Sus scrofa: one gene and its partners. The protein of the gene in region 1 interacts with the protein of each later gene in a biochemical or structural test. Links are inferred from orthologs where the notes say so. Each region holds a gene or a part of one and is shown in the gene's direction. Other genes may lie near its edges.

Region 1 (7,079 bases):
CAACCTACACCACAGCTCAGGGCAACGCCGGATCGTTAACCCACTGAGCAAGGGCAGGGATCGAACCCGCAACCTCATGGTTCCTAGTCGGATTCGTTAACCACTGCGCCACTCCTGCTCAATATTATTAACATGGTAGGGTAGGAATGTACTAGATTGTGTTTATTCATCAGTCGATGGACATGTAGGTCATTTCCACCCTTTGGCCGCTAAGAGCAGTCTCACGTGGACCTGTGTTTTCATTTTTCTCAGGTACATACCGAGCAGGTCCCCCATTACCTTGAACCAAATTCCAGGCACCTTATAATTTCGCTGTAAATGTTTCAGGATGCATCTCTAAGAATGGACTTTGAAAGAAACAACCACAGTACCAAGTATCACACCTAAAATAAGTTAACATTAATTGCTTAGTGTCCTCAAATAGATTCTAAGATACCTTTTGACGGGATTTCCCAATGGATTAGACGTGAGCCCTGAGGGCCAGAGAGGACTCAAGAAGGACTCCCAGGTTGTGTCCTGCTGACCGGAGGGTGGACGTGCTGTCACCTAATAATAAGGGAGGCTGTGGGTGGAGCCGGCTTCTGGGGACTGTGAGCAGTGCAGTTCTGGAGAGGTGAGTTTTGAGAGGAGGATTAGATGTCCAGCCTGAGATGCTGAGTTTGATGCATGGGGGTTAAAGCTGGGAGTCTGGATGGAATTAGCGCTGGAGTAGCTGTAGTTAGAGAAAAGATGAGATCCCAGAAAGGAGCCCCGGAGCATCACAGCATGAAAAGTGTGGCGAGGATGGTCCACGGAAAGAGCCAGAGCAGGAGCAGCCAGTGAAGTGGTGGCTGTTCTGGACTCAGGGCTCAGCGGTTGGTCAGATAGTGCTGGTGGGTCAGGGGGTTATTCAGAGAAGTATCAGTGTAACAGCGAAACGTCCCAGCTTGTTTGGTGTTAAACGTCTCTAGCTGCAGCTCAGGCTCTCTCCTGGAAGCTTCTTTTGGGATCGGCTTCCTCCTCCATGTAGTCGGTTTTCTTGGGCAGGATTTAAAAGGGCTCCGGGCGGGTGCTGTCCCGCAGAGCGCCCCCCTGCCCCCGCCTCTAGTTCACAGGACGATGCACACAGCTCAGCCTGACTCTCGGCCCTGCCACCTTAGGCTGCAAGCCCAGCTCCCGCTTTCGGGTGCTCAGCTCCAGGGAATGCCCACCAGGTTCTGAGTGGTCTCTGTGAAGCCCTTCTCACTAGGTACATTGATTTCCTAGGCTGCCGTGAGAGAGTCCAAGGCAGATGGCTTAAGACAACAGCATTTGTCCTCTCTCCGTTCTGGAAACCAGGAGCCTGAAGTCAGGGCGTGGCAGGGCCCTGTTCCCTCTGGGGGCGCCAGGGGAGGGTCCTTCCTGCCTCTTCCAGCCTGTGGTGGCTCCAGGCATCTCTGGGCTGGGGCCGCATCACTCCAGTCTCTGCATCTTCACGTGGCTTCTTCTGTGTCTGTCTCTCCTTTTGTGTCTCTTAGAAGGACACTCATCATTGGATTTAGGGCTCCCCTGATCCAGGAGGACCTCATTTCAGATCCTTCACTTGTATTACATCCTTTTCCTTCTTTCCTTTTCCCTTTCCCTTTTTTTTTTTTTTTTTTTTTTTTTTTTTTTGCTTTTTAGGGCTACACTTGAGGTATATGGAAGTTCCCAGGCTAGGGGTCTCATTGGAGCTGCAGCTGCCAGCCCACATGAGTGAGAGCCACAGTGACACGGGATCTGAGCTGCGTCTGTGACCTATACCACAGCTCACGGCAATACTGATCCTTAACCCGCTGTGTGAGGCCAGGGATCGAACCTGCATCCTTATGGATACTAGTTGGGTTCTTAACCAGCTGAGCCACAATGGGAACTCCAACAAATCCCCTTTCCCAATCAGTCCCGGTTCCGGGGCCCAGGGAGTGGACCCATCTTACTGCTTGGAGGTGTGGGGAGGGTGGGCATTCCAGCACAGCGACCCCTGCCTCCCAACCTCATCTCCGTCGATTCTCCTCTGTGGTGAAATCGGCAGCTTCAGCGTCCAGCCGGGAGCTAGCCTGAGGCGCCGTTTACGGCCGGTGCTGAACCGTGACCTTTGCGAGCCCCACATGAGGGGAATGTGAGCCACTCGTAGACCAAAGAGCCCTTTTTAGCGCCTTTTCCACTTGGCAAAGTGCTTGTCCTTCTGCCGAGCGTGGCCCTGGCACTCCCTGTCCTGCAGGGTAGGAGAGTTCTGCCTGGGTCTCCTCACGCGATGCCTCTGCTGGCATCTCTTTCAGACGCTGACTTGTTGGATGAGCAGGACCCCCTGGAAGAGTCAGCCGTGTGAGATGGTGCAGCCTAGCGGCGGCCCGGCAGGGGACCAGGACGTGCTGGGTGAAGAGTCCTCTCTGGGGAAGCCAACCATGCTCCACCTGCCTTCGGAGCAGGGTGCTCCTGAGACCTTCCAGCGCTGCCTGGAGGAGAATCAAGAGCTCCGAGGTGAGGGCGGCAGCGGGCCTGTGCCCCGAGATCCCGGGCCGGCGCCTCCCACCTGCCGCACCTCTGCCTTCCTGGGACTGGGGCGGCGTGCACCCGGGCGGGTTAGTGATTTGGTCCCAGCCGCCGCCCCCGCCCTGGTCCAGGTGGGGTTTCCGGGAAGTGGACGCCGAGATCCAGGGAGGCACGCAGGAGGTTTATTCAGAGTCCTCTGGGACCAGCCCTGCAGATGGGGAGGGGAGGGCAGGGCAGCGAAGAAGCAGGGGTGGGTGCAGGGAGAGGCCCACCCTGCAAGGGGCTTGAGCTGGAATATGGCCCTTCTGCGTTGTCCCGGTTGGGCCGACGCCGCCAGGCCCTGGTGTCTCCGTACTCATGTACTGACCAGTCAGTCAGAACCAGCCTTACTGGGAGGGGCGCGGGTCTCCTGGGAAGGGGGCGGGATCTGCTCCAGGAAGGGGGTGTGGTCTGCGCTGGGAACGGGCGTGGCCTCCCTGGGAAGGGCCGGGGGGCGGCTTTGGGAAGGAGGGGCCAGGCGGCGCCGGGGACCTGACGGAGGGCTGTGCTCCAGCAGCACTTGCCGGGGGCGGGGGGTCGAGGGCTTTTCGGCACCCCCCACCCCCCCGCCTCCGTCCCAGCCCCACTCACCCAGCCTCCGCGTCCTCCCCTGTATCGGGGTCACCTTCTCGGGTCCCAGGGGCCATGGCTCCGTGCCCCTCAGGTGTGACCCGTTCTTGGCCCCCTCGTGTGGGACAGCGCCCCCTCCTCCTCGGGTTTGTGCCCTGGGCCTCCGCTGCTGGCAAGCTGCCCCTTTGGTGCAGTAGCCTGGGGCATCCGGGGGGGGCACCCCTAGCCTCTCATTCAGTGACACTCTTGTGGGTGGGAGGTTTCTTTTGGGGGTGATGGGAATGCACTGGAACTAGAGGGAGGGGCGGGTGCACAACTATATGAATACATTAAAGCCACTGAATGACTGTGTATTTTTTTTGTCTTTTTTTAGGGCCTCATTGGGGGCATATGGAGGTTCCCAGGCTAGGGGTCAAATTGGAGCTGCAGCTGCCAGCCTACGTCACAGCCACAGCAATGCGGGATCTGAGCCTCATCTGTGACCTACACCACAGCTCATGGGCAACGCCGGATCCTTAACCCACTGACCAATGCCAGGGATCAAACCTGCGTCCTCATGGATGCTAGTCAGATTCTTTTCCGCTGAGCCACAACGGAAACTCCTGATTGTGTATTTTAAAATAGTTAAAATGGTGAATTTGCTGTTACGTGAATTTTACCTCAATTAAAAACAAAAGTTGTGGGTTTTCTTGTGGTGCAGCAGGTTAAGGATCCAGTGTTGCCACTGCAGTGGCTCAGGTCGCTGCTGTGGTGCAGGTTTGCTTCCTGGCCCAGGGACTTCACATGCCGTGAGTGCGGCCCAAAAAAAGATCTTTAAAAAAACCCCCAAAACAGAGGTTTTGTGGGAGCTGAGGTGAACCTCGGACGGAGGCTTGGCAGGTGGCCGTTGGGGGGGACCATCTGCCTTCGGCAAGAGGCCTTGTCCAAGGCTTGTTGGTCAGCTGCACAGGAGGAGTCATGTGGGGACCGTGGAGTCCAGAAGGTGGCTTTGGAGTGGGGCTCAGAATTTGCCGTAGGAGTTCCCTGGTGGCTCGGTGGGTTAAGGATCTGGTGTTGTCACTGCTGTGGCTCTGGTCGCTGCTGTGGCACGGGTTCAACCCCTGGCCTGGGAACTTCCACATGCTGCAAGTGCAGCCAAGAAAAGGAGGGGAGAGAAAATAACTTGCTGAAGTTCTAGTGAAAGAATGTTCCAGTAGCAGGCACCAGTTAGCTGGTCACGTGTTTTGACCAGAGGGTGACATGAAGCCACTGCCTGCCCCGTGTCATCTGGCTCTGTGCTTGCTAGAACCTCTGCGTGCCGCTGATGAGTTTTGTCGCTCACGATGGCCTTCTGCCGCCTGGGGTGTCCGCTGGGTGTGTGGGGAGAGGACGACCGACTGGTCCCCGAGTTGGTCTTGTGTGCCGGCTCTTGGCTGCTTGTTTGTGTGACCTTCCTTGTCCCGTGAGATGGGTGTCATCGTCCCCGTTGGGACATGTCGATGAGGATGGTGGGGCTTCGGTGACCGGCCGGCTGGCTCCAAGGCTTCCGGCCCCCAGTCTGCGGCAGCAGGGCCACAGGGACGTTTGCCCTGTGTGGCCGGCCCCCTGATCCTGGAGGCAGTGACCGGGTGCCCTAGGGTAGGCCTGCCTCCCACCCGAGCAGAACATAGACGAGTTCCAGCGTCACTTACAAAAAAGGTGGCATCGGACCCAGAGCTCTCAGTGCACCTGATGTGTTTAATGTTTGATTGGAAAAGCATGGGCACGTGATGGGCACCACTGCTTTTGAAAGTGCGCTGCCTGGGAGAGGCCGGCGCCCTCACCTCCCTCTGCGTCTCCTCTGCCGCCAGATGCCATCCGGCAGAGCAACCAGATGCTGCGGGAGCGCTGTGAGGAGCTGCAGCGTTTCCAGGGCAGCCAGCGGGAGGAGAAGGAGTTTCTCATGCAGAAGTTCTGCGAGGCCAGGCGCCTGGTCGAGAGGCTGAGCCTCGAGAAGCTGGAGCTGCGCAGGCAGAGGGAGCAGGCCCTGCAGGAGGTGGAGCTCCTGAAGACCTGCCAGCAGGTAGCGGGGCGCCGGCCGCCTGCCCTCTCCCCCGGGGGTCCCCAGGAGCACCCTCGGGCGGCCGCACAGAGTCGAGAGAAGCCGTTATCCTCGGGGCTCTGACCAGGGCGGGCGGGGGTGGTGGCAGTGGGCGCCTTAGCCAGCAGGGCCTGCGGACGGGCGTCAGGGCGATCGGCAGGCCGTTGGCTGGCTCAGTGGGGGTTCAGGGTTTGGAAGCCGTTGGCCTGTCCAGGGCAGTGGAAACCTTGAGACCGACCCGATCATCCTCAGGTGCACGCAGATGGGCGTGAAAAGGAGGGGGATGAGTGGCGGGCGGGGTGGGTGGCGCTGCGTGTAGGGGTGGGGGCCTGAGGCTTGACCCTGGGCCTGAGCAGCCTGAGGTCTCGGGCCCAGGGTTTGCACAGCCTTGGGAGGGCGTCTGGGCGGTGGGGAGTTGGAGAACTCTTGAGTTTTGGGGCAGGTGCAGGACTTGTGGGAACAGCGTCACTCCCTCTTACCTGCTAGTGGCCTGGGGCCCGGGGAGCGCGCAGGTTTCTGTCACATGTTTGAGTCTCAGCAAGGTGGGGAGACTCCTGCTGGGCTCAGCCCGCATGGGCAGCTCTGTGCTCCTCTGGCCCCATCCTCAGTGGCCTTGCTGGGGGAGAAGCTTCGAGAGATGAGAGGGAGATGAGTCGGGGTGCCGGGGGCAGGAGAGGAGCCCCGGGGGTGGCCGGTCTCAGTGCTGACGTGGCGTGGCTTCTTCTCGTGCAGCAGATGGCAGAGGACAAGGCCTCAGTGAAAGCCCAGGTGACGTCCTTGCTGGGGGAGCTGCAGGAGAGCCAGAGTCGCTTGGAGGCCGCCACCAAGGAGCGGCAGGCTCTGGAGAGCAGGTGAGCGTGGAGGGAGAGCCCTGCCCGAGGCCGCTGACTTTTTGCCAGAGTTTTGGATGATTCCCGAGGGGCCGTTTGCGGGGTGGGGGGGACGAGTCCACGTGATCACAGTGCCCTCCCGGCCCAGGACCCCCGAGGACGGAAGGCCCAGGGCGGGGGCGGAGCACCCCCTGCCTCTGGCCCCCTCCTCCTTTCCTCCCTTCTCTGGCGGCGACTTGGGCCTCCCTGGAGGCCTGGGGCGCCACTGGAGACTCAGCGCCCTGAGTTTGATGGAGGGCTGGTCATGGCCCAGCACACGCCAAGCCTCCTGACTCCTGGAGGAAAGCAGGTGCTCCCCATAGGCCACCGTGTTGTGCCCACGGTCTAGGCATGGGGACCTCCCTCATCTGGAGGGCGAGTGTCCTGGCAGCGTAGGGGACTCACACCAGCCCTGCTGGCCCCTCTCTTCTGCAGAGGCTGCTTCCTGTAGCTGTGCTCACCGGGTCAAAGGGCACGGGCGTCTCTGTGGTTCTCACGCTGCCCGGTGGCTGCCGTCCAGGGAGACGGGTCCAGGCGGCAGGGCTGGCCGCAGCTCTCCCGGTGCGCTGGGCGCTGCGCCCGGAGGCCCGAGGCGTTTCCCAGCGCGGCGTTTAGACGCCCCGCCATCCTCAGAGCGAGCGGGGAGCCTCCCTCTAGAAAGCAGGCGGCGAGGGCGTGTGTGTGGCAGGGCCGAGCCCGCTGGCCTGGTCGCCTTCCCGGTTCCCCGCCGGGCTCGTCTCTACCCCCACTTCTCTAAGAGGCACGTGTGTCATTTCTAGGACACTGCCACGTGTTTCTTGCCTTTTTTCTGTGCACATAAAAGAGACTGCTGGAGGCGTGACGCTGTCTGCAGTTTTGTGGCTGACTCTGCTCAGTTAATGACCCCGCAGTTGCAGGCTCTGGGCATCTTCCTCTCTTGTCCCCCCACGTGGCTGAGATGGAAATGCTGGCTGGCAGCTCAGGGCAGGGAGCCTGCTTGCGTCTCCCATCGCTCGGTGTGGCCATTTAAACAGATCCAGACTTCGTACATGTGGCGGCCCTTTGAGCGCCAG
Region 2 (7,189 bases), on another chromosome or scaffold:
CAAACCATACAGAGCATATGATAGAGAGAAAACCTATTGGAGCACATTACTCAAAACTGTCTCCCAGGCTGCAGAAAAACAAAAGGTACCTCCTTGGGAATCCCCACCATAGGGACCCGTCATCCAGGCTCAGCACCTCCCCAGATTTCCAAAGCACCATGACAAATCTTGACTCTTACCACTAGGTGTCACACTAAACAATCAGGAATAAAGATCACCAGTTCCCCAAGGCCTGCAGCAACAGAAAGCTGTCACAGGAGGAGCAAAGACACATTCCTGAGATACTTTTGACTTCTGCATGATTATTTGTTCAATGATCATTTTTAAACCTGCAGCTAATAATCCTCTTCTAAGGTATTTGTAAGTGGGGGCACTTAGAGTTTGATATTTCTGTGTGTGGTGTGTGTGTGTGTGTGTGTGTATAGTTTATTTTTTTTTAACAGATGGGAGTATCCCCAGATATTCTATTTTATCCAACAATTGGAATAGTTTGCATTATCTTCCAAATCAGAGTGTATTCAGTCGCACTTTCACAAAGTGTTTTCAAAAATATTAATACCATGACCTCTTTGGCTAAATGATTAATATGCTGGGATAGAAATGAGATGAACTGCTCTGGGATGCCTAGGTAAATTTCTCTGCATTTCAGTTTCTTTTTAGGAAAGTCAGAACTGTTCCTTGCAAGATGAGTTCTGAGAACAGAATGTGTTGCAGAAAGTACTGGAGTCTTTCTAAAAATTTATCCTATGATATTTCCAAGAGACATGGTCACCCTTAAGCAAAGTTATACAAGTATTCATGGTCAATTAATACCATTTGGGGGGGGTCTTTTTTCTAGGGCTGCACCCATAGCATAAGGAGGTTCCCAGGAGGTGTGGCCGTCAGCTTATGCCACAGCCACAGAAACACCAGATCCAAGCGGCATCTGTGACCTATACCACAGCTCATAGCAACGCCAGATCCTTAGCCCCCTTGATTAAAGCCAGGGATCAAACCTGCCTCCTCAAGGATGCTAGTCAGACTCGTTTACTCTGAGCCACGACAGGAACTCCAAGTAATACCATTTTTAATCTGGAAAAAAATCTAAATATCATTAAATCCAACCTTGTTATTATAAAAGAAGGTACCCCATAGCAAAGGTAGCTAATTCATTCAACTAATGTGCAGCTCATTAAGGGTGGAGCTGGGAAGTGAGATCTCCTACTTAGCGTCACATGCCACCTTGCCTAATAATGATGTATTTGTCTATCAAATGCCTACAAAGACATACAGAGTCTCTCCCTGGACAGTTTTCATTTTATTATGTGATCGTTACTACCCCAAAGATTTCTTTCTTGATTTTATTTTGTCCCTCATATTCTGTCTGTCATCCCTACATTCAGATATCAGAGGTGGGGGTATTGGGGAGGGGGAGATGAGGAGAGGAAAAGGATTGGTTGGTGCATGGCCAGTCAAGTTGAAGATGATTGCAACAATCACGAGAAATCTCTGCAAAACTATAAAAGCTTCCTGGGGTGCCTTCTGAAAAAGTCTGATCCAAGTTGCTTTATTAGGGCCTGGACCATTTCTAGAAGTAGATGAATGCATTCCTTTCATTGGCTAGGAGGTGGGGATGGGGCAGAGAGCATACTTCTGTTTCTGCAGCTGAGACCTGGACATGGTGAACCTGGAGTAGCTACCCATATGGCATGGACAGGTCCAACTGCTGCCCCCTCCTTTGTCCCCCAAGAAGCCAGCAGGGGCAGGATGAAGGCCACCTTGGGGCTGCCCTGAGCCTCCTGCAGTATGCCTGGCAACTACTTTCTTAGCCATCTTTAAGGCCCAATCTTGGGTAAAATACTACTCAACCCATTCTTTAGCCACCTTCTCCAAATGCTTCTAGAAAGCGGCCCCCACAAGTAGGTTCTCTGCAGCAGCACAGTGCAAATGGAGGAACACGACCTCAGTAATTATTTTGTCACTGCAAAGTATCTACAACCTTTGCTATAAAAATTAACACCTTGCTTTCCCTGAAAAATAGCCCAGTCATATCCAGCATTTTCCAGCATCCAGGGCAGAGTGCTTGCTCCTCCCCCAGTCAACAGGACTGTTCATACCGAGGAAATGATTTGAGGGTTCTCTAAGCATTTACGCTGTTAATGCTAAAGCTTTCACGACTTCTACCTGAGGGGGGCTTGAGGGAGGGGGAGGTTTATGTCCCTGCACTGCCAGGAGCCTGGTCTTTGGTAGGAACGCAGAGGCAGCCGGCGACCTTCCACCCTCAGTGTGTCCTTCCCCAGGAGTTTAGGGAAGTGAATCCCTAGATCCAGCCAACATTTCCACTCCCATTTTCAAGAGATTAAAAAAAAAAAAAAAAAAAAAAAAGGAAAGCATCGGCAGGTCAGCAAACCAGCAGTTCTCCATCCTTGGGATCTTAGCAGCCGACGACCCCAAATCAAATCGATCGTGGGAAACCCCAGGGAAAATAAGGTTCCATGCAGAGGGCCAGGATTACTGACTGCAGGCTGCAGGGAAGTACCGGGGGAGGGGGCCGGGTCGGGAGGACTTTCCAGCCACTCAGCGTGCATTAAAAAGTTCCCTGTACATGACCCCAGTGGCTCATCGCAGGGAGTTTCTCTGATGAACCCGGGCGCGGGGTTTAGGCTTCTTTTTCCCCCAGCAGAGGACGAGGCCAGTTCTCTTTTCTGGTCTGACTGGCTTGGAAATTCCCCGAGCTTGACCCCGCCCAGGAGAAATCCCCTGCCAGCGTTTATAGGGCGCCGCGGCGGCGCTGCCGAGCCCACAACAGTCCGAGGCCATCGTCCCGCCCGCCCGAGCCACCGCGAGCAGCCAGCGCGCCGCGCAGCCTGTGGCCCGCGCACCTAGGGAGCAGCGCCCAAGCCCTCATCGCGCCATGTTCCAGCCCGCAGAGCCCGGCCAGGAGTGGGCCATGGAGGGGCCCCGGGACGCGCTCAAGAAGGAGCGGCTACTGGATGACCGCCACGACAGCGGCCTGGACTCCATGAAGGACGAGGAGTACGAGCAGATGGTGAAGGAGCTGCGCGAGATCCGCCTCGAGCCGCAGGAGGCGCCCCGCGGCGCCGAGCCCTGGAAGCAGCAGCTCACCGAGGACGGAGACTCGTAAGTGTCGCGGGCCCGGGTGGCGGGGCCGGGTGGGGGCGCTGGGCCTGCAGCCGGAGGTGCGGGGCCCGCGCTGCGGCCGCGAATCGGGGTTCGTGCACGGACCCCGAGGCTGTGCAAAGGTGCACGGTTGCGCGTGGGAGCCGGGGATCGGGGATTGGGGCCGTGGTCCCGCGGCTCTACCTTGCAGCCGTGCACACCTCCCACCCCTCACCCACCTTTGCGGGTCCCCTCGGCCGGGGGCGGGGCGGCCACGGGGACGCGAAGTCCCCGCTTGCATAAGGGGGGGCGGGAGTTTCTGCCCCGCTGGCGGGCGGGAGGGGAAGTACAGGGCGTTCCGGCCCGGCGGGAGGGCGGGGCGGTCTGGCCGGCGCCCGCCGCCTGGGGAGGGGGGGGGGGCGGAAAGTCCCTGGGTGCCTGCCAGGAACACTCAGCTCATAATAACCTCGCGGAAAACACCGCGGCCTCGGCCTCCAGAAACCCCGGGCTTGCGCAATCCCCTGCGGGCTGTGCCTCCCTGGGCCCCACGCAGTGCACTCACCAGCCCTGGGGGTTTTCCCTCTCTTCCCCTCAGGTTCCTGCACTTGGCCATCATCCATGAAGAGAAGGCACTGACCATGGAAGTGGTCCGCCAAGTGAAGGGAGATCTGGCTTTTCTTAACTTCCAGAACAACCTGCAGCAGGTGCGCTGCTTGCCCGCCCCGTGCCTCTTGGGTTCTGCCTCTCTGACCCCTTGATGGAGCTGGATCTAGCACAGTTATTTCCAATGATTTCCCAATTAACTGCCCCTAGTCATGATCCGCCCTGAGCTTTTACATCTGAATCAGCCAACATCCTAGAGAGGAAGGAAAAATCCCATTGATTTGGTGAGGCTTTTATGAAGCCCACCTGGGGTCTCCCGTCTGTTTCCTTAACCCCTTGTATCTGTCTGGGAGGAGCGGCACGCACAACCAGGATATCTCTAGGGTTCAAGGGGAACATGGATTGTGGGTTTGATCCATGGCTTATCCTTTCTGTCCCTCTTCTGTTGGTAGACTCCACTCCACTTGGCGGTGATCACCAACCAGCCAGAAATCGCTGAGGCACTTCTGGAAGCTGGCTGTGATCCTGAGCTCCGAGACTTTCGAGGAAATACCCCTCTACACCTTGCCTGTGAGCAGGGCTGCCTGGCCAGTGTGGGAGTCCTGACTCAGCCCCGCGGGACCCAGCACCTCCACTCCATTCTGCAGGCCACCAACTACAATGGTAAGTCTGGCTGCCCTATGCATCAGAGGGCACGTGACACAGACAAGGGAGAGGTGGGCCGACTTAAGGCAAGGTGTAAACTCTCAACACGTGAAAGGCTGAGAAAACATGTATGCATCAAGGTCTTAGTAAAACATGTATGCATTTGATGCCTTACTAAAGTCCATTCAGAACCCAGAGTCTGGGTTCTTCAAATTCAGAAGACCTCCTCCCTTAAAAGAATAGGTGAAAGTTCTGAGAAGTGAGGGTGGCAACAAGTGCTTATATTTTGTTACTTTTGGTACTCTAGGCCACACATGTCTGCACTTAGCCTCGATCCATGGCTACCTGGGCATTGTGGAGCTGTTGGTGTCTTTGGGTGCTGATGTCAACGCTCAGGTGGGTGCTTCAAGCCTACAGATGGAGGGCATTCAGCCCTCAATAAGATCACATGCTCTTGCTGCTAGCAGAAACCTCAGACTCAGCCATAAGCATCTCAAATTCCTTTTGGTTTCAGGAGCCCTGCAATGGCCGAACCGCCCTGCATCTTGCGGTGGACCTGCAGAATCCCGACCTGGTGTCGCTCTTGTTGAAGTGTGGGGCTGATGTCAACAGAGTCACCTACCAGGGCTACTCCCCGTACCAGCTCACCTGGGGCCGCCCAAGCACTCGGATACAGCAGCAGCTGGGCCAGCTGACCCTAGAAAACCTCCAGATGCTTCCAGAGAGCGAGGATGAGGAGAGCTATGACACGGAGTCAGAGTTCACAGAGGATGAGGTGAGTCCCAATGACCTTGTTCACGGGTCTGCAAAAAGCAATGCTCTCGGACCCCTAGAGCTCCTCCTTTTCCTGAGGGTCTCAACATAATGAGGATCTCAAATTAGGGAGCATAAGCAGTGTCCTAAGAGTAGGTTTAGGGGGAGGATTATGGTCTGGGGTTTTCTTTTGCTTTTTTGCTCTTTTTGAAGGAGAGGATCCTTAAAGGAAAACTTCAGCCCAGGAAGTTAATTCAGATTCGGGTTAGAGGGAACGGAGTCCAAGAATACTTGCGTTATTTCCAGTAGCAGCCCTTGCCATCACCCCAGCACCTTTGGCAAAGTTCTGGAAGTTTAACATGCCTTTCTTTCCCCTTTTAGCTGCCCTATGACGACTGCGTGCTTGGAGGCCAGCGCCTGACGTTATGAGCTTTGGAAAGTGTCTAAAAGACCATGGACTTGTACATTTGTACAAAATCAAGAGTTTTATTTTTCTAAAAAAAAAGAAAAAAAGAAAAAAAAAGAAAAAAGGGTATACTTATAACCACACCGCACACTGCCTGGCCTGAAACATTTTGCTCTGGTGGATTAGCCCCGATTTTGTTATTCTTGTGAACTTTGGAAAGGCGCCAAGGAGGATCATCGGAATGCAGAGAGAACCTCTTTTAAACGGCACCTTGGTGGGGCCTGGGGGAAAGGTTATCCCTAATTTGATGGGACTCTTTTATTTATTGCGCTTCTTGGTTGAACCACCATGGAGTCAGTGGTGGAGCCCAGGTGTATCTGGGAAATGTTAGAATCAGGTGTGTTGTTAAACCTGTCAGTGGGGTGGGGTTAAAAGTCACGACCTGTCAAGGTTTGTGTTACCCTGCTGTAAATACTGTACATAATGTATTTTGTTGGTAATTATTTTGGTACTTCTAAGATGTATATTTATTAAATGGATTTTTACAAACAGAATTCTGATCACTGTCTTCTTCGGGCAGCTGTGGGACTCCTACACTGAGAGTCATTCGAACCCCAAGTGGAGGTGGAGGTGGAGAATTGTGTGGGAGCATTTACCACAGCCAACCACGGAACTCTTTCAGAGAACAGCTTCTCACACCGTCTACACCAGCCTCCCGGCCAGGCTTTGCAGGCAGCCCCAGGCCCAGTGCGTGGGAGGGGAGGCTGTTGCAAGGTGATAGGAAACACCAGTTTCAGGCTTGGGGTGGCAGCAAGTTGGTTGGCCTACAGCTGGAAGGCTCTTCATTGTCGCTTGCTTTCATCTTCCTGGTTTAAATTCAGCCAGGACCTTACTTCTGCTTTAGGAAGCTTTAGCCAAGAGGAGTTAGTTGTACTCATATTTTGATACTAGAAGTTCCTGAGGACATGGGCTGGGGAACAGGACCCCCCACTAATGTGTTAGCAGGTGCCCACCTCTGCACCTTTGTTTCCCTGATGATAAAACTCGGCCATTGGTAAATTGTACAAGACAATCCACGTAACAAGCACAGCAGAGTGCCAGGCACAGAGTGCTAAAGAAAAATGCAAACTGTTGCACAACATCCTGTATTTCACACGGGAAGGAACAAGACCAGAAAGAATGTCCTGGTCAGGATCACCTTGCAGGACAGGCAGGTGGTTAGCTTAGCGAATACACGCTTGCCTTCAGGTGGCTAACATTTTTGAAATGCCATCCACCTGCAAAGCAGCCTGTTTTGTTCCTAGTGGCAGTACCAAATTGATTATAAAGACTGGAAGAGCCTTTTCATCAGCCCTATCTAATGCTACTGAATGATTCTAGAGAAGCAAGTGATTTCACAAGAAATCGGAAACTTGTGAAGTTTGGGTGTAGATGCTTTCAAAGTTTTTATCTGTAAAATACATCTCTTGCCTAGATAGAGGAGTAAAGGAAAGTTTTTGGCGCTCTATAAAGTACAGAATGGTGTATCAATACACCTCATGTTCTCCGGCTCACACCTAGGAAAACATTACTATTATATTATTCCTTTCCTGACCTACAAAAAAATGTCAAAGAGAATAAGATGTTCACCTTCCTCTCAGACCAAAAAAAGGAGCCAACACCTCATGGATCTTTCATATGCAA
Region 3 (7,040 bases), on another chromosome or scaffold:
GGGTCAGCAAAAACAAAGCTGAGAGGAAATCTTTCAGCACTCCAAGAATGCAGGCAAAGGGAAAATCTGCAAGACTAAAGAACGGATTGGAGGGCTGGGTTTTCATTGTTCTGTGGAGAGGAGGTAGGTTTTGAGAAAGATGGGGGAGGGGCGCTGATAAGGCCTGAAGGAGAGGATCTCCACCGGAGGAAGGGGATCTTTTTGGAAAACTAGGGCAATCGGGTGAAATACCCTACAAAAACTTAAGCCATGAGGTTGTGCTCCTCTGCCGGTGCACGGGTGCAAGTTATTCAAACCAAGAGCAGAAACCTCAACATCCTTGTAACTCCCTGTGATTTTGGAGTTCTCCTCTGGGCCTCCGGTGAAGAGTTCCTGGGTCTGGGAATGGCTGCAGAAGGGGTGGATTTGGGAGTAAGGATAATCCCACTCCTTGGTCAGTGGATGGACAGTGGTCCTTACCTCTACTGTGGACGACAGGACATCGAAGGCACCAACTGGCAGACAAGACCCAAGCGGAAGCGACTGTAAGGCTGAATCCCCTTTCTTTCTCCACTTCAGAGGGTGACTAGAGACACTAAGAGGACACAAAGTGGTGGGGGTGGGGGGTTGTGCTCATGGAAGGGCTGGCATAGTTATTGTTTGTTGATGAGGTCCAGAGATATGGACTGAGGTCTGTAATTCCAAAGCCCTCCGACTTTTCTTGGCGGGTGACCGACATTCCAGTATTGGGTACTTGCTCCAATGAGGCAGAAAAAAAAATACGTTGTGATGTTGTACTAGACTTCTCTGTAACATGATGCCAATGTTTCTTAAATCTTAGTGGCCAGGACCTGGGAGAAAGTGCTATTCTAAAGCAACCTCGGAGTGTTCTGGTTTATGTTTCGAATGAAGGCCACTCCTTTGTTTTGGAGAATTCCTTCCTGATACTTAAGTGTTCTTGGTTTGACAAAAGCAAAGACCAGCTTTTATAGTAGAAGGGACTTTTGGGACACAGCTGAACTGCCCTGCTGGTAGCCTTCTTCATCATCTTCTTCTTCTTCTTCTTTTTTTGTCTCTTTAAGGCTGTACTCACGGCTTGTGGAGGTTCTTAGGCAAGGGGTCCAGTCGGGGCTGTAGCTGCCGGCCTAGGCCACAGCCACAGCAACACCAGATCCGAACTGCGTCTGTGACCTACACCACAGTTCGTGGCAACGCCGGATCCTTAACCCACTGAGCGGGGCCAGAGATTGAACTTGTGTCCTCATGGATACTAGTCACATTTGTTTCTGCTGAGCCATGATGGGAACTCCCTAGATGCTGTATTTGTAATAGCCACTTCTAAACTTTCTCAGCTTTGTAATTCTCCTGTTATTCCCAGACTATCTGTAATGGCCTGGTATTAGCTATATTTTAGGGAATTGAGGGAGGAGCCCATGCCCACATTTAGGATTTGCTTCTACCCTCCAGGAACTGCTCCTATCCCCAGCCCAGGCCAGAGTGGTGGGTAGCCACAGGTGGGTAGCTGGTGGTTCTGTGGCTCTAGGAGGTGGCTTGCTGCAGAAAAATATTTATTGAACAAGGATGAGACTGTACTAGGGAGTGTCTCTGTTGAAGTTCAAGCAAGTCTGGAAGTCCAACCTTAACTGAATCACAGATTAAAGATCAAGTATTTCCAGGGATGGATTCGTGGGCAAGAAAACCTTTGCATATTCCCAGGAGTGTTAGGTAGGGGACTGGATTTTCCAGTAATAAGAAGGGTGGTTATTTTTCTATTGTTGATCGTTACTGGGAACCTCTAGACAAGAGAGGGAGAGTAGTTAGCAGGACTTCTTGGCAGCTCAGGGGGTATTAGTAGGTACTACTAGTAGGCCACAGGGAGCCTTCCATTCTTAAGTGTCTGTGAAGACTTTTTTGAGTTCTGCCCTTCCCGTCCTTTTCCCATCCAGTTTTCCTTTCTTTGGCTCCTACTGCACTCTGTACCCACCTTTATCACAACAGCCTTTTTTTTTCTTTTTCGTTTTTTGGCCACGCCCAGGACTTAGGGAAGTTCTCTAGCAAGGGATCCAACCTGTGCCACTGCAGGGACTCTAGAAATTGCAATGATGACACCTGATTCTTAACCCTCTGTACCACAAGGGACCTCCCAATCATCTTTTTAAAAATTTAACTTAAGTGCAGTTTACTTACAACCAATTGTCTTGAGGTGTAATTTGTAATCATATCTCCCAGTAGACTGATCTCAAGGGCAAGAGACTGGTGTTGGTACACAGACCCTGGTTCAAATTCCATCCGTGGTACTAGCTAGTTTTGTGACCGTAGGCAATTACTTAATCGCTCTATCCCTCGATTTCCTTACTGATTAAAAGTGGGCACAAGGTTCTGCATCTCCTGAGGTTGCTGAGAGAAATGAAGTTGACTGCGTGTAAAAATACCAGGCATAAAGTATGTGCAAAGTAAAGGGATCCTAGCAGGGTGAACGTTTGTTAATTAGCCTGACTAACCTTTATTTTGTGCATTCAACAAACATTTAATGATCACCTGCAGTATTGCAGGCCCCTGGAGCGCTCACTCCAGGGTAGAGAACGCTCTTGTGCGGCCGGTGGGCTTGTCCCTCGGGCAGTCTCAGGATTGGCTCCGCCGAAGAGAATACCCCGCCCACATCCCTTGCGATCTCGTCAGCGATTGGACTGGAACCTTCCCGCAGGCATTCTGGTTGCTAGGCTCAGGAGGTGGGGACCTAGGTTGCGCGTGCGCAAACTGAGAATGAGGATGCTTTCCGGTCGGGCGGGAGGAGGTGACGTCAGGAGCGGTGGCTAGCGGGGGCCTCCTGTAGCTCAAGGGACGTTGTATCTGTGGGCCCTAGGACCGCGTCACAACTCGGCGACTGAGCCTTGGCGGTGGTGGCCGAGGCGGAGAAGGCGGCAGCGGCGGCGACAGCTCTGGGGTTTGCGTCTCGGGGTGTGTCGGCCGCCGCTGCTGCTTGGGCCTGGTATGTACAAATGGCTGGTTAGGATTCTCGGCACCATTTTCCGTTTTTGTGACCGGCCGGTGCCCTCTTCCCGGGCTCTCCTGAAGAGGCGGCGCTCGAACAGGTGAGAGGAGAGGGGGCCGAACGCCGGCCTGGCACTCCCCCTCCCCCACCCGGGGCTCGGCTAGCCTAGCGCTGACCCAACCAGGCAGGCCCCGCTTGGCAGAAACAGGTAGCTGGGCGGAGGTGGTCGAGGTGCGGATCGCGGGCGTCCTGGTGACGTAGTCGCTCCTCCCCGCTGTGTGGATGCGGCTCCTGATGATGGAAGGAGCCAGTAGTTGATGGTTAGGATCTTTCTCATCAGAGCCCAAGCTGGTTGCTGTTAACAAATAGAGCTTTGTCATATTTTGCTGCTCTTAGGTTGAATACTGAAAATTGAAGGAAAACTGTCTTTGTTGTGGCTCACTGTTTGCAAAGCACACCCCCAGGTGTCATCTGTGCGCAATAAGCGCAGTTAAGGGAGGTGAGAATCATAGCTTGCCCAAAGTCCTTTTGACCACACGTACTGTTCTCTTAGCAACAAGAGACAGCAGCTGTCTTGTTCTAAAACAGCTGTCAAACTGTGTGTGTGTGTGTGTTGTCGGGAGGAGGGAGAGTGATTCTGTGCTTTAGAATTAGTGTATGAGAAAAAAAAATAGATATCTGATTACTTTAAAAAGATCACTAGTCTGTACTCTAAAATTCTGTTAAAATTTTGGAGAAACTAAAAGTTGTTCTTTGCATTTACCTGTTGGTTTGTCCCATTTCATTGTGTCCACCCCCTTCCCTAAGAATTAATCGAGAGAATAAAATACCATACTAAGTCTGTACATACCCACACCCAACTTTTAGTGGTCAGGTATTAATTTAATTTTTTATTAAGCCTCAAGATTGAAGGTTGGTTTCTTGGAGCTTGAGACAAAGATGATTAATTAATACATGAATCTAAGAATGCTGCTCATGATGAAATTGGCTTTGGGCTAAATTCCATCCTATGTTCTAGAGAGGGCAAGATTTCATTGTGTTTTTTATAATTTTCTGTGGAGTTAATACAAGGATCATTTGAATACAAGTTGTGCCTAAAATGATGCTTAATGCATATAAGGGTAGTGTTTGTTTATTCTACTCCAAGGGCCTTGTGCAGAGGCCGGAGCATGACAGGCACTTGTATATATTTATTGAATAAGGGAATGTTAATTCCCTCTCCCTCGTCCTTTATTTTTAATGCAAATCTCTGCTGGTCAGGGAAACTGGCTTGTAGATCAAAATCCTGTTCTTTATTATACATCCTTAATTGATATAAACTCTTCATTGTAAGCCATTTTTCAGTCCAAATGAAGCCAAAAAGTCTTCGTGGGATGTTGAAAGTTATGAACCAAATGGTATTCTCCTGAGATTTATTCTGTTTTTTCTTTTGTAAATAGGATCATTCCTAATCATCTTTAGAAAGATGATTATAGGAGTTGCTGTCATGGCTCAGTGGAAATGAATCCGACTAGGAACCATGAGGTTGCAGGTTCGATCCCTGGCTTCGCTCAGTGGGTTAAGGATCTGGCATTGCCATGAACTGTGGCGTAGGCCGGCAGCTATAGCTCCAATTGGACCCCTAGTCTGGGAAGTTCTGTATGCCGTAAGTGCAGCCCTAAAAAGCCAAAAAAAAAAAAAAAAAAAAAAGAAATGAAAAGAAAGATGGTTAACTGTGAAGCTTTAACCTTGAGATATAGGTCCAAAAACTTTTCTGAATTTACAAATTTTTGAGATATAGGTCCAAAACTTTTCTGAATTTCCAAATTCTTTATCACTGTAATATAGTTTCCATGATAAAAACACAGTTAAATATAACACCCTTTTCTGGCTAAGAACTGTCTTTTTTTTTTGTCTTTTCTAGGGCTGCACTCACAGCATATGGAGGTTCCCAGGCTAGGGGTCTAATCGGAGCTGTAGCTGCCGGCCTACACCACAGCTCACAGCAACGCTGAATCCTTAACCCCCTGAGCAAGGCCAGGGATTGAACCCACAACCTCATGGTTCCCAGTTGAATTCGTTAATCACTGAGCCACGATGGGAACACCAGAACTGTCTTTTAAGTAGACAATTCTTAAATTGTCTACTTCTATCTGAAGTAAAAAATGATTTTCTTCTGGGGAAGCTGTCATCTTTCAGAAGGAAATTATTCTTAAATCATTTTTGGAGAGAAAGGGAATAACTGGTCCTAAGCTTTTACCTATATTCGTTTACTAGTAAAGATTTCTGGCCAGTTTCATGTTTGTAGTCTAGCCAGACTACACATGATTATATAATAGGGAATTTTAGATCTCCACATCCTCAAAAGCTGAAGACCTACTATAGCATAAACATCAGTTAGATCTCATTTTATGACAGAGTGAATGGAAGAGGGTGTGTTTGAATAGTAAGCTTACTTATAGAAATGGAAATGTGTGTATATGAACATATATGCATATATATTATGTCTCTCTTCTCTTTTTTCAGCAGTCTCTTTTCTACAGTGGACACTGATGAAGTACCAGCCAAAAGACCAAGATTAGGTATTAAATATTAATTAAAAAAATAGCTTTTTCAATAGGAAAAATATATGTATGGACAAAATTCAAAAGATAAAAAGTATATACAGTGAAAAGTAAGTCTTTTTCCTGTCCCTTTTCCATTGTTATCTTTTTTAGAGGTAAACAGTGTTACCAGAGACTTAAATATCTTTCTAGATAAATAAGTCTGTATGTTGAAATTGCATTTCAAAATTCCTAATCTTCCTATAAAGAAAAGGTGCTTTTTATTTATTTTTAAAATTTATTATTATTATTATTTTTGTCTTTTTGTCTTTTTAGGGCCACACCTGTGGCATATGAAGGTTCCCAGGCTAGGAATCTAATCAGAGCTGTTGCTGCTGGCTTACGCCGGAGCCACAGCAACACCAGATCCGAGCCGCGACTGCGACCTACACCACAGCTCATGGCAACACCAGATCCTTAACCTACTGAGCAAGGCCAGGGATCGAACCCGAAACTTCATGGTTCCTAGTCGGGGATTCGTTCCCGCTGCACCACGACAGGAACTCCTATTTCTTAATTTTTTACTTTTAAAATGAGAGTTGGAATATTTATTTCAGGTTCTCTCTCTCTCTTTTTAAGCATTTAAAAATTTTTTTGCCACACCGGCAGCACGTGGATGTTCCTGGGTCAGGGATCGAACCTGTGCCACACAGTAGTGACCAGAGCGTCAGCGGTGAAAACACAGGAGGCTTAACCCACTAGGCCATCAGAACTCCCAAAAGGTGCTTTTTATTTGAAGAGAAAACATTGTAAAAACTATTTCAAACTGGAGTCATCTAGTTCAGATAGCTAAGTGATCCAGTATAATGAGTTACCTCAGATTGTTTACTTCTCTGTATCTGAAGGTCTAGACATCACTGGTAGAAGAGAATAAAACTAGATTAAAGGGAAAAGGCACTATTAAATACTATAATAGTGTTTTCCTTCTTCTCAAAAATGAATGTGAATTTGAATCTATCTCCAGATGTAGTAAAGAGTGGATATGTCTGTGTTAAGATTTAATGTAAATTCAGGAGTGCTTATTGAGCCTATCTTACTGTTAAACAATGTGTTAGGTTCTACAGGAAATACAGAAATGAATACAACAGGTTCTTTATTTTTAAGGACATTACAACTGCAGGAGTATATGATTATTTAGTGGGGGGTTTAAGACAGTACATAAATTATACTAATGTCAATGATTACATGATAAATGAAATAAGAAAAGTAATAACATAATACTGTCCGATTTTCAGCTCTAAGAGTCTCAGTAAATATTTGATGAAGGAGCTAATATGTGAGGTGAGTCCAAGGATGGATAGGGTATTGACAGAGCAATAGGAAGGACAGTAGGCAGAGGGGACAGTAAAAAGTTTTGCAATTCAGGAAATAATGAATAAAACAGGGGAAAAATTGACAAAAGAGAGAGTTCAAAATACAGAAGACTTTGAATGTCAGAAATATATACCAAATTTATTAGGACATTATATTCCAAAGCACAGGATAGA

Evidence for each region. The genes of interacting proteins can lie anywhere in the genome.
Region 2: of the proteins of IKBKG (region 1) and NFKBIA, one has a biochemical effect on the other in vitro, tested with the Homo sapiens proteins (15 studies listed by BioGRID and IntAct). The link is inferred for Sus scrofa from reciprocal best matches to the Homo sapiens genes IKBKG and NFKBIA.
Region 3: the proteins of IKBKG (region 1) and SENP2 form a complex in vitro, tested with the Homo sapiens proteins (2 studies listed by BioGRID and IntAct, with this or other methods). The link is inferred for Sus scrofa from reciprocal best matches to the Homo sapiens genes IKBKG and SENP2.

What each region holds. Positions count from the first base shown.
Region 1 is NC_010461.5:125,042,589-125,049,667, forward strand, and holds the start of IKBKG (NF-kappa-B essential modulator), read left to right. Parts: upstream 1-2,291; coding exon 2,292-2,478; intron 2,479-4,928; coding exon 4,929-5,140; intron 5,141-5,890; coding exon 5,891-6,009; intron 6,010-7,079. UniProt on the Homo sapiens protein: Regulatory subunit of the IKK core complex which phosphorylates inhibitors of NF-kappa-B thus leading to the dissociation of the inhibitor/NF-kappa-B complex and ultimately the degradation of the inhibitor.
Region 2 is NC_010449.5:64,505,226-64,512,414, forward strand, and holds NFKBIA (NF-kappa-B inhibitor alpha), read left to right. Parts: upstream 1-2,893; coding exon 2,894-3,120; intron 3,121-3,338; exon of another isoform or gene 3,339-3,688; intron 3,689-3,694; coding exon 3,695-3,803; intron 3,804-4,154; coding exon 4,155-4,365; intron 4,366-4,654; coding exon 4,655-4,743; intron 4,744-4,861; coding exon 4,862-5,122; intron 5,123-5,481; coding exon 5,482-5,529; downstream 5,530-7,189. UniProt on the Homo sapiens protein: Inhibits the activity of dimeric NF-kappa-B/REL complexes by trapping REL (RELA/p65 and NFKB1/p50) dimers in the cytoplasm by masking their nuclear localization signals.
Region 3 is NC_010455.5:123,427,171-123,434,210, forward strand, and holds the start of SENP2 (sentrin-specific protease 2), read left to right. Parts: upstream 1-2,744; 5' UTR 2,745-2,970; coding exon 2,971-3,071; intron 3,072-3,367; exon of another isoform or gene 3,368-3,470; intron 3,471-5,476; coding exon 5,477-5,532; exon of another isoform or gene 5,533-5,624; intron 5,625-7,040. UniProt on the Homo sapiens protein: Protease that catalyzes two essential functions in the SUMO pathway.